Regions from separate parts of the Mus musculus genome. Here regions 1, 3, 4 and 5 are each reported to be linked to region 2. The links are microRNA targets in miRTarBase. Many come from high-throughput screens and were not tested one by one. Region 2 holds a microRNA gene; each other region holds the end of a gene's coding sequence.
Evidence for each region. The annotated mature microRNA mmu-miR-21a-5p reads UAGCUUAUCAGACUGAUGUUGA and lies in region 2 at 1,045-1,066, shown strand. An mRNA with a match to its seed (bases 2 to 7 or 8) in the 3' UTR can be bound and repressed. Matches are read on the target gene's strand: a 7mer-m8 pairs with bases 2 to 8, a 7mer-A1 pairs with bases 2 to 7 and ends in A, and an 8mer does both.

Region 1 (3,136 bases), not on the chromosome of region 2:
TTCACTTTCTACCCAACCCAGACTGGCTATAGAGAGGGGCTTGGGGAACTCATACTACCATTTAAAAGACTAATTTTCTCCCTAAATAAAAATATACCTAAAAGGATACTAGTGCACCGCAGCAGAGTACATTTTGGGGGTCTCATACACACTACAATGAAAATTTACTTTTATTCTTAACTCCAAGAAAACCAATATGCAGATTTCCCCCTAGTTATTCCAATTTTAAAAACAACAACAACAAAAACCCATCTGCTTCTAAGACTTAGGAATTATCTTGAAATGTCCAAAGGAGGTAAGACCCACCCAAATCTGTCTACTGAAGGCAAGAGGCCAATAATGTGGCGTTTTATAGATATGCAGAAAAATAAAAATCCTGTCAGGCATAACATTTCTCTCCTCATCTCAATAAATAATGAGTAAAGTATAAATGTAAGAGTCATTTTATCTTAAAAAAAAAAGTCCAAAAAAAGCAAATGTACAAATGTGTATTTAAAATTAAAAGGAAAATGTATGCATCAACTGAGAAATGCCTCACCGTCATTCGGTGCCTCTACCTCCCAATCAGTCATCTTATTGCAACAGCTGCGCTCATGCGAAGAAATCTTTAAAACATACCCGATATATATACAGATATAGCCATGTATATATGTATATATATAATATATATATAAATTTTTATTTAAATAAAAAAGAAAGCTCGAATCCCAAGCCAATATGTGTATATCAAATCCTTGACCAGCCAGGTCTGTAGGGCATAATCAAATTCAATGTGAAATAGTATATAAACACGGTGCCTTGACTGGGCAAATTAAATAATCGCTACTCAAATGAGTGTTCTGTTTGGATTTCCTACTGGTAGGCAATGGCAGGACTATTTTTCCCTTCCCACCCCTCCCACTCTTATCCCACCCCCACCCACTTGTTTCAATTAACAAGATGATGGACACAGAGCTTAGACTGAGGTGACGCAGACCTCAGCAGAGTTAAGGGTTCAGGAAATAGAAATAAGAAAAATATAAACGTTTGCTTTTACCCAACCAAAGCAATGCAGTAACTTATTACATAACCAGTGCTTTCTTGTTTTGTAGCATCATCTAGAAAGGGAAACTGACGTCAGGCAATCAGAGGGATGGAGTGATTCTACGAAACATTGCCTTGCTGAACTCATTTTAGAGGGGCTTAGTAAATTAAGCAAACAGTGGTTAGCATTAGAATATGTGCAGCAGAACTAAATAAAAATTCTTCCTCACTCTTCAACTTTTTCATAAACATTTTTAATGTCAGAAAGCCAGGTCTATAAAAACTCACTTCAAGTTATTTATAGTTATTCTAGTAATTCTGATTACTGACAAGTGACCAAAGCATGAACTACCCTGAAGACTCAGTCAGTTTCTATCTGCCAAATCTTTAACGCTTTTGAAAGGAAAACAAAAATTCCATTGAAATAATATGTCCTTGTTTACTGAAGCTCCTATCGAGTGTTAAGTTTTATTTTAATTAAAAAATTTTCTTCATTGTGTCTGGTGTCCACAAGGGCCAGAAAAGGGTGTCATGTCCCTGAAAGTGGAACTGGGAGACACCCTGCAGGTGCTGCCAAGAACCCGGGAGAGCAGCCGGTGCTCTTCTGCTGAGCCGGCTCCCAGCTTTAGAGTATGGTTCACTGTCCTGGTTTTTCTATTCTAGGGTTTCAAGACAAGTTTAATTTGTAAACACAGCTCGAATTTTCCAACATGAGCTCCACATAGGAGAACAGGAAATGCCTATTTTCACTATTAACAAGCTGAAGTTCATTTCTTTTCTTCTTATTCTGTTTTTTCCTGCCTCAACATCTTGAGGCCAGGGATTACAGGAATGAGCCATTATATCCAATTCAGAGTTCATTCTTAAAATAAAATAATCTTCATTTAAATCTAACTAAACATTGTAAACACTAAATAGGCTTTCAGATTTTAAGGAGATAATGCAAGGAATGCTTGACACCAAAATGTGGCTCAAACAATCAACTGCATGTTGACATCTCTGAAAAGTTGAAACTAAAACCATATCCACTCAAATAAACTTTTAATGTTGTAAAAAACAAGTATCTATCCACAGAGCTAGTGATCCAGAAACAGGGCTGGGGTTAAAGAATAGCTCTAATAAAATTAGTTTGCTGCACAGTTTCTAATAACCCAATCTATTACCACAGAATTCTTGGAAACGGTGCATTTTTGTCTATTTTAGTTTACAGGGTTGTGAGAGTTGGAAAGGACTGGGGAAAAGGAATTATACACTGGGTATGTAATAATACCAAAATACAAGAAAAACCTACTTCATTAAGATCATACAATTAATCAAACAGAGTGTATATATAATATCTTCTTTTTTTTTAAAGCCCCGGATCCAAGGCGTCCAAAGTTATTAAAATAAAGTTCATTCACAGAACAAAAACAAATTTAATCTGAATTGCTTGCAGATACTGCTAATTTTTTTTTCTTAAAATTAAAAAAATGCATCAATGTGAACTATGTGCAGGTTTGTTTAGTAGTGGTGTTTGTGCACATTGCCTCCGGTGCTTTTCCTGGACTTCACTGACCACTCAGAGAAAAAGTTTAGAAGTTATCCATTTTTCTATCCCTATGCCCCATGAACTGATTAGGAGCAGAAGGTAGAAGCAGGTGCCCATATTCTAGGGAGCAGAATTGGAAACAACTCCTGATCTCTGGGAATCATTGTTATCTCCTCCTCCCTCAGAGTCTTCTGACAGATTCAAAGAGCTGGTCTTGTTTGATAGGAGGCTGAGATTCTCTTGTGTCAAGGCTGATCCATTTGGTACATCACTGTAAATTACATGAAAAAATAGTTGGAATTTATAGAAAGAGAAAAGCAATTACTCTAAATAAAATCCAATCAATAGGGCTTATTATTTAGCACTGTAGAAAAACATGAGGCTGGAGTAGAGCACATGCCTTTAGTTCAAGCAGAAGGCAGAAGCAGCTGGTCTTTATCAGTTTTAGGTTAGATTGGTTCCAGGCCAACCAAGGCTAGCTACACAATGAGACTGTCTCAAACAGCCAAAATAAAAATAACTACATAAATAGCTTCCAAATATTGATTCTAACTCCTCATCCACACTGTAGCATAGATGATAAAC
Region 2 (3,136 bases):
AAGCAGTTTAGTCCATATGTTACACTGACATACTTTATTTGTTAAGGTAAGGTGTCTACACCCTCAGTTCAATCCACGTCGTATTCTTTAGGGTGGATGTGATGTTCTGCTGCAAACTTAACAAAAACTGGCCTTCTGATACCTTCACAGGGCCACACAGAACCTTCTGAAGTATGTTAAATATGTCAGGCTTTTTAGGCTTGTCACAAATGATTGTTTTTTTCTAAGTCACCAAATGTATATAAGTTATATATATTGGATAGCAATCTTGCATGTCTATCATGGAACAATTTAATATGCCTTCCTTTCCCACCCTCAAAAAGGCCATTTTATGACGCATTGCACACCCTCTGGGGAAATTGATCTTTAAATTTTGAAACAGTATAAGGAAAATCTGGTTGGTGTCTCACAAATGAGTACGCCATTTTTTATTCTGTATATTTAGAATGAAGTCGTGAAAAACTTTATAAAGACATCTTTGATCATTCCGAAATTGTGTCCGTTTTCTTTAGTGCTATGGTTTTTTGTTTCTTTTTCACTTCTACAAAGCGAGTGGCAGCCTTGCCAATTAGACTTAAACCAGAATTGCCCAGGCTTTTATGTATTGCCTGAGAGAGCTACCTCCAAGGTGTTTTGTTGTTGGGCTGGAGATCTAAGCGGGACTATGAGGTTCACCTAGAGTGGGAATCTCTTACTTTATAAAAACAAGAAGTGGTGATGTATAAATCAGAGGACACTAGCAAGAAAGGCTTTTTCATGTTCATGTTAGTTTTAGCTGTTTGTACTCCGGCTTTAACAGGTGGAAGCTTACTTCTCTGTGTGATTTCTGTGTTTTATTTCAATGTGATTTTCCTTTGACATTTTTTTGATTGACCCTGTTCATTTTGTTTTGCCTGGTAGGAAAATAAACAGCTTTCTTTCCTAGAATTGGCATTAAGCCCCAGCAAACCAGAGATGTTTGCTTTGCTTTAAACCCTGCCTGAGCACCTCGTGCTTGCCCCCTGTCGTGGTCGTGACATCGCATGGCTGTACCACCTTGTCGGATAGCTTATCAGACTGATGTTGACTGTTGAATCTCATGGCAACAGCAGTCGATGGGCTGTCTGACATTTTGGTATCTTTCATCTGACCATCCATATCAAATGTTTTCATTCAAACATTACCCAGCATCATGGTTTGCAGTCAAAAATTGTGGTCCTTATGTCTTGTGAGACTTGGAGCCCTTATACCTTGGTACAACAGCAGCAGTATCAAGAGAAAACTTCCTAGGAAATTGGGGTAGTCGTCACAGTCATAACTAAATAAATAAAAATGAAAAGTCACCTTGCCTCATGGATTTTGGAAAGGTTGTCCTTTGTTGGCTTTTGGTTGGCTGGTTGGTTTATGTTTTTTTCTTTACAGGGACTAACAATTTGTTACCTGGCCATACTTGAAAAGCAATGCCCAAATTAACAATGAAATTTTTATTTGTTTGTTTGTTTGCTTGTTTATTTACTTATTTATTTTGAGATAAGACTTCACTATGGAGACCAGGCTAGTCTTGGACTCATAAGAGATCAACACACCCTCGCCTCCCAAGTGCTAGAATTAACTTCGTATGCACCGTGCTGCCAGGCTTAGACTAGTATAATTCATATGTTAGCTAGCTAGCATCAGAATTCCCACCTTACTTTGCAATTGTTTCATCTCTTTGCCTCACTATTTTATTTTGTGTTTATTTGAAGAAAGAAGATGTTAAGTGTGAATTATATTAAGTCTTTGGGATTTATTTATAAAACTTGCTTCAGGATAGAATATTTAAGGAAAAAAAAAATGGTTTCCTAAGCTAAAAGTCTAGGAGACTAATCAAGCCCTAAACTCTGTTCATTTGTCCTGGATTCCCGCTGAAGCAGTGAGATATCTCTTCTGTCCCATGGTTGCCTGGTTTCATTAACCACTATCATAAATATATAGTTATATGTCTCCAAAGATACTACTACTTAAGTCTAGCTAGTAGGAGCCCAGAAAGTTTGCAAGTGGATGGTTTGATATTCCTGAAACTTGGAGAGAGCTCGGGCCTTCTGACTCCATCTCATAAGTCTTATTTTGTTCCTCTGCACTCCAGCTGCATGCCCCATCTGCAGTTTATTCAATCAGACACTGCCATGGAATGGGTCTGGAATCTTATGTACACATAATCTGGAGTGTGGGGCTCTGAAGAAGGATACTTCCATTTATTTGGATGCTGAACATATAGTTCAGTGGTTCTCAACCTGTGGGTCATGGCCCCTTAGCAGTCCTCTGTCTCCTAAAATACATTATGATTCATAACAGTAGCAAAATTACAGTTATGAAGTAGCAATGAAAATAACCTCGTGGTTGGGGGATCACCGCAACATGGGGAACCGTATTCAAGGGTCACAGCGTTAGGAAGGTTGAGGACCACTGGCCTTGTCCCATCCTCCTGACAAGCTAGAAAAAAAGAAGACTGCAAATGGTGTATTTTTCGCCTGCTAAGTGTAGAAGCACCTCCTGTGGTGAGCATTCCTTAACCTCCTCCTGACTCCAGCATGCTCTGCTGTCTGTAGCATAAAGACAGTATGAGATTCCTGTCACCCACCAAACACAAAACCTGCGTTAAGCTTAATAAGTTGCTGTGGTAAATGTTCCTATAACTCCAGTTTTGTTTCATTATTTTGCTTGTCTGTATGTTTTGAGACAGGGTCTGTCTGTGTAGCCCTAGTTGTCTTGGGACTCCCCGTGTAGACCAGCTTAGCCTCTGACTCAGAGTTCTGCCTGCCTCTGCCTCCAAAGTGCCTGAACTAATCACACCTAGCCTTAACTTCAGGTTTTTAGACTGATATGTTTTTTAGTTGCGTGTATCTGTGTGGGGGTATGTGCACATGTATTACAGTGTCAGAACACGGCATTGCATGGGAGCTGGAATTACAGGTGGGGCGTGTTAGGAGCTAAACCCAGGGCTTCCACATGAGCAGGGTTTGCTCCCACCTGCTTGCCATCTCTCCACTCCTGTCTTCAGTTTTTAAATCATCAAAGATGATCTTAGACACATGCAGAAACGTCATAATGTAGCAAGTGCACCAGAAACTTATCGCAGGTTCTCCACTTCAAACCTAGGCTTTTAGCGCTGCCGCTA
Region 3 (3,136 bases), not on the chromosome of region 2:
AGCTTAATTAGAGCAGTAGATACAATGTGGATGTTCTTGACCTCTTGTTTATAAGAATTTTCTTTCTTTCTTTTCTTTCTTTTTCAGTCACTACTTCGATGAACCAAAGTTGGCTCCATGGGTCACCTTGACAGTTCAAGGCTTTGCAGACAGCCCCGTTGCCTGGAGAGAGAAGGAACATGGCTTCCATAAAGGAGGCGAGCACTTGTACAATTTTGTGGTTTTCAATAATCAGGACTATTGGCTTCAGATGGCTGTTGGGGCAAATGATGACTGCCCACCATAAAAGATGCAAAGTTTATAGAGTCACACCTTGCTTGTTTGTTGTCATGTTTCCTCATCACAAAGTGTTATATGTCACCCAGACTTGCTACAGTGATTAGCTTCCCAGCTCAGCTCTGGCTTGCTTCCTCCTGTGCCGTGGCCCCTGTGCACTGGCTGCTTATCCTACGATCAGCTCTGAGCTGGTTTTTCAGTTGAATGCAGAGTGTTGCTTACTAGAGAGTAGGGTAAACCGGAATGATTGAGAATAGCAGGAGTGGAGCACTTGGTGAGTGTTCTAGGTGCTAATCATGGATGAACTCTTCTAGTTTGGTTTTCTGTTGGCCAGAGCAACGTCTGTGAGGACAGGACCGACTGCAGTCCATCATCAGTGATGGAACCTAGAGACAGGAACTGAAGCAGAGACCATGGAGGAATGCCACTCGGCTTGCTCACCTAGCTTTCTTATATAGCCCAGGACCTGCTTAGGATTAATACCGCCCACTGTTGGCTGGACCCCCCTTGATGAACCAGCATTCAAGAAAATACCCCATAGACATGCTTAGGAGCCAGATTGATGGAGGTGGTTCCTCAACTGAGGTTTCTTCCGCCCAAGTGTATCAGCAGATAACCAAGATGAACCATCAGAATTTTTGTGTGTCCCCAGGATCTCATGTTGATATAAAATACAGTGCAAATTGAAAAGTCACACCGTCTTTTAAGAACACCACTACGTAAAAATTCAGTGTCTCTTAAAAGTCCAAACTTCCTTAACCATGACTTCCTATAAAATCAAGGTTGAATACCTTCTTACAGCAAAAGGGAAGAACCACACTTAAAACCAAAGTCCAAAAAGGTAGCTCCAGAATCACAGGGCCTGACATCTGGGACTCACTCACCGTCTTCTGGACTCCAAGGCAATTCTCAGCACACAGCATGTCTAGTAGGCTAAGGCTGGGTCCTTGCTGACGTGACAGCCATCTTGACTCTTAGAGCACACGCTGCTCACGTGCTTATGTGACAGTGGTGTGAACAAACCCTCCTTTGCTGCCAGTGGTGTGAAGTTCAGTAATTAGAAGTGTGTACAGCACATGACACTTAATAACTTACTGGCTTATGAGTTTACTCCTTCTACTTATAGAAAAGTATGAATCACCGTGGGATGATATTGGGAGCAGCTATTGATCACCACGTCTTTTAACCACATCCATTACCTTTTGCAGCTTCCCTTAATTTCATTTTTTGTTCATCATGATCCTGGAAGCAATAAGCTTCTCTCTCTCTCTCTCTCTCTCTCTCTCTCTCTCTCTCTCTCTCTCTCTCTGTGTGTGTGTGTGTGTGTGTGTGTGTCTGTGTCTGTGTCTGTGTCTGTGTCTGTGTCTGTGTATCATATATCCTAGATGTCTAGAAGGCAATAAACCATCTGGTTTTATGCAAGTATCTCCTGCAGTGATCACGTAACAACCAAATTGCCTGTCAATACTTGCCTTAGCCCATGTCCCTGTCATCATGTGACCCAATACTATGTATACCTGCCCCCTACCCTGAATCTTCCAACCGTTCTATTCTTTCTCCCTCAAGAATGTAAGCACCAGCCCAGCAGGAAGTCAGAGGTGGTTTTGGTTTTGGGGTGCTTCTGCTCTCATGTCAACTGCAATTAGGAATATGACTTATGGCTATTAATTCTCTTGAGTAATCCCAGGTTGCTTTTTTAAAATTTCCTTTTAGACTAGTTGATGGGGTTCTTGCCTAGAGTCCCATCCCTGGCACCACAAACAAAACTAGATTTCAAGCTACACATGCCAATGCCATATTAATTAGCTTCCTTTAGAAGAGTTTGTTGCCAGGATAGGATGCAGGGCCTCTGAATACCAGGCTCTTGCTCTACCACTGAGCTACAATACCAGCCCCTATTTTCCATTTTAAGAAATCTATGGAGTTTAAAGAATAAAATAAGAAAATTAACTTAGAGCTGCCTTCTAGGAAGAAGTATCAGGAAATGGAGGTAGGAGTGGGAGTGACCTACAACCCAACTAAGGTAGTTTTCTCACATTTAGAACAAGAAGTATGTTGACAGTGGTGAACCAACAAAGCCAGGTGGTGGTTCTTCTTGGTAGGAGCCAAGACCATTCCCAGAGTCTCTTAGCGCAGCCTCCTAGGACATGTGCTGCAGGCATATCTAGACTAGCAGGGAAGCTGTGTGCAAGTGTACTGCACTTTCCAGCAGGAAGCCTGTGCTTGTAGCAGGATTTGAGCAGACCCTTTGTATCTGACTTCAGTCTGGAGGGATGGCCCCTAGGCTTCGGAAGTAGCCTTTTGCCAGTGATTGTTATTTGAGATTTTATGGGGTTATTCTTCTGAAGGATTCTCAGAGCCTTTGTGTATCTTAGGCTAGCAAAATTATGCCTGGCAAACCAGGAAGTCTCATGTGGCTGAGCATCGTTGAGGTGAAGGGTCTTTCAAGACAACCCCTAGGTGAGATAAGTTTTCTTAAGTGGAAGTGGACTTGCTGAAGGTGCCTTCTTGTGTAACAATAAACTTCTAGGAAGCTGTCAGGGTTCAGTCCTTCAGAGCCTGATATCTCCACTGCTTGAGAAGCCCAAATTCATCCTTCAGTGCCTTCCATCAACCAATAGTCTGAAGTAATTCAGAGCACTGACCTGTGCCATGTGCTACCTACTTGTTACTGAAGAAATGGCCAGAAGCCAAATGAGCCTCATTTTCATCTCACAATCCGTGTCTTGTTTTGCTGCAGCCCCGGGTTAAGATTTCTCATTTGGACACAGGCTTCTAATTCCAGGTGGCATTTTCCTTGTCAAGCTCTTCATGAGTCAATTGTCATCTGTTGTAAAAGCTACCAAGCATCTAGCTTGTA
Region 4 (3,136 bases), not on the chromosome of region 2:
TGCATTAATTAGAGGGGAACCTGCCTAGCTTGGACTGGGAACTGAATAAATGTCCCTTCCCAGTACCTTACCCTAAAAACGAAAATAAAGAATCAAACAACCAACTCTACACCTGAAATGAAAAGACCGAGAAGAAATATAAACACAGAAAACAGGACCTTCATAATCCTCCAAAGAACATTATTAGTAGCTCTTTAAGAAAGAAATTACTTTCTTGCAAAAGAGGCGACACAGGCCTAGAGGCTGAGAGAACTGGCGGCGGCCGGTACTCGGCTGAAGGGCAGAAAGCGCCCCGGGATCCTAACTTCTGCAGAGATGCAGCTAGTGGACGCTCTAGAAATAAGAAGCAATGCAGAACTCACAAGGACGCCCCATTTCTGGTTCTTGGTGCCTTTGGATAGAAGATGACCGAAACCAGGAGCCAATTAAAAAAAAAAAAAAAAAAAAAAAAAAAAAAAAAAAAAAAAGCAAAGCGGGCCAGCGACTTCCTCGGCTACGCTAGAGCCGCTGGTTGAACTTAAAGACCACGGCGGTTCCCCCAACTTTTCCGCTCCAACCGAGGACGTCGCCAGCCTCTTACTTTTCCTGGAGCAAAAGAAAACAGCAAATCCAATCTCCTTTCCCCACCCTCTCTCCTCCCCCTCTCTCTACTACTGTAGTAAAACAGTTAACAGATCAAAAGCACAATCATGTCCAAATGTGATGAGAGCGCACAATGCGAAATATCTACCTCGGAGTTGAGAGCTTTCTTCTGTAATATGTCTGTTGCCTGGCTTCTCTTTTGCGTGTACCAGCTGCAGAGATTTTCCGATTTGGGACTACAGGCTTGGACCCGCGCTGCCAAATTAAGAAGTGGAATCCGGAGTGGGGGGGGGGGTGGGGGAGAAAGGGGGGGGGAATAAATAAATAAAAAGTCCATGATAATTAAGGGAATTTTGCAAGCCGCTCTTCTCTTTTCCCTCACCCCAAACAGGAAAACGTAGAGGACAAAGTTTATGAAGTCAGGAAACAAAGACAGAAAACCACTTGTTTCCTCACACAATAGCAGACAGAGCTAGGAGTCACCCAACCACCTACCCCGCAGAACGCTCGGCGCGTCTACTTTGTAATTATTCCGATACAAGAAGCATCATTTTCCCCTATAAACCACATTTCAAAGGGCCATTGTGTTGTGAAGAAAATGAAAACCAACCCAGCCAACCTGGTTCTGATTTGGCGCAGTATCTCATCTGCTAAGCTACACGAAAATTTTCAGAATTGACTCGTTCTGGCAACAAGTGCTAAAGCGAGCTTAAGCCCACATCGCGCTTATTCACGCTGCTCAGGGAAGGAGGGGGGTGAACTTACAATATATGCTTCTAGTTTCTATTCTAGAAATGTCAACGCATTTCAGTTCCCCGTTATTAATCATTCGGCCATTTTTTTCTTCTGCAGTTAAAGCTAACAGACATTGCTGGTAACATCAAGATCTTGGTGGCTGAACAGTTATCCAGTTCCCCAAGAAGTTATGTATAAGCATGCTAGCCACAAAGAAATGAAAGACTCAGGCATAATTTCAGTGTCCATATTTCAAAAATTTATTTATCTCAAACTGTGCATAATGGAGTAAAAACTTAAGTTGAAAATGTAGCTGTTATAAGGATGGTATTAGTTCAAATATATACATGGATTCTCGGCAGCCTGATTCCAATAACAGAGCCGAATCTTTTAAAATACAACTACGGAAAATAAAAGGGGGGAAAAACCTTAAAATATCACAATTTACAGAAATATTACAAACCATAAGAAAATATTTCAAACACAGTAATTCCATATTTTTTATGTGAACAAAATGAAAGGGTAGGATTGAACAAAAGCTATTATAAATTACCAACGATATCAACCTGCATGGACATTTTTTTTTTGCCTTTAACAGTAAGTTAAAAATTTAGTACAATCTAGAACGTTTGCCTTAAACAAGACCACGAAAACGGTCTTGCCAGTACTTGCTCTCATGTTTTCCTTTTGTACAATTTTAAAACTAAAATGTTCAAATCCGAATAAACTCCTTCCTTGTTTGTAACGGTCCTAAATTTAAGCTGCAGAATCAAAACCCAGCAAGAACCCTTTCCTCGAAAAATATTGGCAAATTCTCAGCTTATAAACAATGGACATTTGATTGCCATGTTTATCTCGATAAATACTGTACAAAAGTTGCTTGCAAATATTAAAACTTTTTTTTCATCGCCCGGAGTCTAGCTCTAAATATTACTGGTAAAGACTTTTGCGAACTCCCTGCGAAGCGCCTAACGTACCACTAGAACTTTAAAAAAAAGTTTTGCGTAGTTTTTTTCCTCCAGATCTATACATGGTCCGATTCCCCCGCCCTCCCCGCCGCCCTCAGGTTTTCTCTGTACAAAAATAGTCCCCCAAAAAGAAGTCCCAAGATCTCTCATAAAAGTTTTCTAGTCGGCATCACGGTTTTTGCGTTAATTTGGATGGGATTGGTGGTTTTTTTCCGCAGCTGTCGTTTCGCTGCGGAGATTTTTTTTCCTTTTGAGCATTATCAGATTTTTCCTACTCTCCTCTTTTTGCACCCCTCCCAATTCCCTTGTATCTCTTTGAAAATCTCTCCCCTTCTCCAGTTCGCAGTCCAGCCCTCACATGTGCGACAGGGGCAGTGTGCCGTTAATGGCCGTGCCGGGCACCGGGCCGCTCTGGTAGTGCTGGGCCATGTGCAGTCTACTGGGCGCAGCGGGCTCCGGCACCTCGGCGCCGGGGAGGTACATGCTGATCATGTCCCGGAGGTCCCCGGCCTGGCAGGGCGCCCTGGAGTGGGAGGAAGAGGTAACCACGGGGGGGCTGGAGCTGGCCTCGGACTTGACCACAGAGCCCATGGAGCCCAGCGCCATACCGGGGGTGCCCTGCTGCGAGTAGGACATGCTGTAGGTGGGCGAGCCGTTCATGTAGGTCTGCGAGCTGGTCATGGAGTTGTACTGCAGGGCGCTGACGTCGTAGCGGTGCATCGGTTGCATCTGTGCCGCGCCGTGAGCGTTGAGGCCCGGGTGCTGCGGGTAGCCCAGCTGCTCCTGCATCATGCTGTAGCTGCCGTTGCTCCAGCCGTTCATGTGCGCGTAGCTGTCCATGCGCTGGTTCA
Region 5 (3,136 bases), not on the chromosome of region 2:
TAAATCTGCAAAACAGAATGTCTTTGCTAATACAGAACTCATTCTAATTGTTCATTTTCATCTTAAACTTTCTTTCTCTAGGTGAAACTATACTTTACAAAAACAGTAGAGGAGCCATCAAATCCAGAGGCTAGCAGTTCAACTTCTGTGACTCCAGATGTTAGTGACAATGAACCTGATCATTATAGATATTCTGACACCACTGACTCTGATCCAGAGAATGAACCTTTTGATGAAGATCAGCATTCACAAATTACAAAAGTCTGATTTTTTTTTTCTTATCAAGAGGGATAAAATACCATGAAAAAAAAAAAACTTGAATAAACTGAAATGGACCTTTTTTTTTTTTTTTTTTTTTTAAATGGCAATAGGACATTGTGTCAGATTGCAGTTATAGGAACAATTCTCTTCTCCTGACCAATCTTGTTTTACCCTATACATCCACAGGGTTTTGACACTTGTTGTCCAGTTAAAAAAAGGTTGTGTAGCTGTGTCATGTATATACCTTTTTGTGTCAAAAGGACATTTAAAATTCAATTAGGATAAATAAAAGATGGCACTTTCCCATTTTATTCCAGTTTTATAAAAAGTGGAGACAGGCTGATGTGTATACGCAGGAGTTTTTCCTTTATTTTCTGTCACCAGCTGAAGTGGCTGAAGAGCTCTGATTCCCGGGTTCACGTCCTACCCCTTTGCACTTGTGGCAACAGATAAGTTTGCAGTTGGCTAAGGAAGTTTCTGCAGGGTTTTGTTAGATTCTAATGCATGCACTTGGGTTGGGAATGGAGGGAATGCTCAGAAAGGAATGTTTCTACCTGGGCTCTGGACCATACACCATCTCCAGCTCCTTAGATGCACCTTTCTTTAGCATGCTCCACTTACTAATCTGGACATCCGAGAGATTGGCTGCTGTCCTGCTGTTTGTTTGTGCATTTTAAAGAGCATATTGGTGCTAGACAAGGCAGCTAGAGTGAGTATATTTGTAGTGGGGTACAGGAATGAACCATCTACAGCATCTTAAGAATCCACAAAGGAAGGGATATAAAAAAAGTGGTCATAGATAGATAAAAGACACAGCAGCAATGACTTAACCATACAAATGTGGAGGCTTTCAACAAAGGATGGGCTGGAAACAGAAAATTTGACAATGATTTATTCAGTATGCTTTCTCAGTTGTAATGACTGCTCCATCTCCTATGTAATCAAGGCCAGTGCTAAGAGTCAGATGCTATTAGTCCCTACATCAGTCAACACCTTACCTTTATTTTTATTAATTTTCAATCATATACCTACTGTGGATGCTTCATGTGCTGGCTGCCAGTTTGTTTTTCTCCTTAAATATTTTATAATTCTTCACAGGAAATTTCAACTTGAGATTCAACAGTAAGCAGGTTTTGTTTTTTTTTTTTCCTAGAGATTGATGATGCGCGTCCTCAGTCCAGTGGCTGTCAGACGTTCAGCCCCTTTGACCTTACACATTCTATTACAATGAGTTTTGCAGTTTTGCACATTTTTTTTAAATGTCATTAACTGTTAGGGAATTTTACTTGAATACTGAATACATATAATGTGTATATTAAAAAAGTCATTGTTTGTGTTAAAAAAGAAATTAGAGTTGCAGTAAATTTACAGCACTGCACGAATAATAAGGCATTGAAGTTTTTCAGTAGAAATTGTCCTACAGATGCTTTATCGACTTGCTATTGGAAGAATAGATCTTCTTAAATGTGCAGTGTTGAGTCACTTCGTTATAGTGGTAGAGTTGGGATTAGGGCTTCAATTTTACTTCTTAAATATCATTCTATGTTTGATATGCCCAGACTGCATACAATTTAAAGCAAGAGTACAACTACTATCGTAATGGTAATGTGAAGATGCTATTACAAAGGATCTCCTCCCAACCCCTCGGGAATTTGGTGTCTTTCAAATTATATCTTGACCTTGACATTTGAATATCCAGCCATTATTAGATTTCTTAATGGTGTGAAGTCCCATTTTCAATAACTTATTGGTGCTGAAATTGTTCACTAGCTGTGGTCTGACCTAGTTAATTTACAAGTACAGATTGCATAGGACCCACTAGAGAAGCATTTATAGTTTGATGGTAAGTAGATTAGGCAGAACGCCATCTAAAATATTCTTAGAAAATAATGTTGATGTATTTTCCATACCTCATCAGTTTCACTCAACCAATAAAGTTTTTAAAATTGTAACAAAGCTCTTAGGATTTACACATTTATATTTAAACATTGATACATGAATATTGACTGACTGTTGATAAAGTCAGAGACAACTTTTCCTGAGATCTCACCATGGAAATCTGTACACCCCCTTGTCTTTCCTAAAAGCTGAAAGTGGCTGACTAAAATGCAAAGCAGCTGTTGATGTTTTGAAGATAGTGATAAACACTGTTCTTTGTTAGTTTTGGGCACAGCATGCTAAACTATAACTTGTATTGTTCCAATATGTAACACAGAGGGCCAGGTCATGAATAATGACATTACAATGGGCTGTTGCACTGTTAATATTTTTCCTTTGGAATGTGAAGGTCTGAATGAGGGTTTTGATTTTGAATGTTTCAGTGTTTTTGAGAAGCCTTGCTTACATTTTATGGTGTAGTCATTGGAAATGGAAAAATGGCATTATATATATATTATATATATATAAATATATATATTATACATACTCTCCTTACTTTATTTCAGTTACCATCCCCATAGAATTTGACAAGAATTGCTATGACTGAAAGGGTTTTGAGTCCTAATTCAAACTTTCTTTATGACAGTATTCACGATTAGCCTGAAGTGCATTCTGTAGGTGATCTCTCCCGTGTTTCTGGAATGCTTTCTTAGACTCTTGGATGTGCAGCAGCTTATGTGTCTGAAATGACTTGAAGGCATCACCTTTAAGAAGGCTTACAGTTGGGCCCCGTACATCCCAAGTCCTCTGTAATTCCTCTTGGACATTTTTGCCATAATTGTAAAAGGGTAGTTGAATTAAATAGCGTCACCATTCTTTGCTGTGGCACAGGTTATAAACTTAAGTGGAGTTTACCGGCAGCATCAAATGTTTCAGCTTTAAAAATAAAAGTAGGTTACAAGTTACATGTTTAGTTTTAGAAAATTTGTGCAATATG

Region 1: miRTarBase lists Rc3h1 as a target of mmu-miR-21a-5p. The part of its 3' UTR that is shown has no 7-base or 8-base seed match.
Region 3: the mRNA of Rpp40 is a reported target of mmu-miR-21a-5p. Seed matches in the 3' UTR shown: 7mer-m8 at 1,528-1,534.
Region 4: miRTarBase lists Sox2 as a target of mmu-miR-21a-5p. Seed matches in the 3' UTR shown: 7mer-m8 at 2,135-2,141.
Region 5: the mRNA of Pten is a reported target of mmu-miR-21a-5p. The part of its 3' UTR that is shown has no 7-base or 8-base seed match.

Annotation. Positions count from the first base shown.
Region 1 is chr1:160,967,333-160,970,468 of GRCm38, reverse strand. It overlaps Rc3h1 (RING CCCH (C3H) domains 1), which reads right to left. Exons shown (of 20, transcript NM_001024952.2): 20 at 1-2,822. The coding sequence ends at 2,672. Among named protein-coding and RNA genes, the nearest start is that of Serpinc1, 9.7 kb to the left of the region's middle.
Region 2 is chr11:86,582,050-86,585,185 of GRCm38, reverse strand. It overlaps Mir21a (microRNA 21a), which reads left to right and starts at 1,028; the gene lies at 1,028-1,119. Vmp1 (vacuole membrane protein 1) reads left to right here. Exons shown (of 12, transcript NM_029478.6): 12 at 1-1,328.
Region 3 is chr13:35,893,877-35,897,012 of GRCm38, reverse strand. Rpp40 (ribonuclease P 40 subunit) reads left to right here. Exons shown (of 8, transcript NM_145938.4): 8 at 88-1,909. The coding sequence ends at 286. Among named protein-coding and RNA genes, the nearest start is that of Rpp40, 11 kb to the left of the region's middle.
Region 4 is chr3:34,650,879-34,654,014 of GRCm38, reverse strand. Sox2 (SRY (sex determining region Y)-box 2) reads right to left here. Exons shown (of 1, transcript NM_011443.4): 1 at 1,554-3,136. The coding sequence ends at 2,640. It overlaps Sox2ot (SOX2 overlapping transcript (non-protein coding)), which reads right to left. Exons shown (of 5, transcript NR_015580.2): 4 at 731-837. Among named protein-coding and RNA genes, the nearest start is that of Sox2, 2.5 kb to the right of the region's middle. RefSeq lists enhancers at 1-11, 1-300.
Region 5 is chr19:32,819,762-32,822,897 of GRCm38, forward strand. Pten (phosphatase and tensin homolog) reads left to right here. Exons shown (of 9, transcript NM_008960.2): 9 at 82-3,136. The coding sequence ends at 267. Among named protein-coding and RNA genes, the nearest start is that of Pten, 64 kb to the left of the region's middle.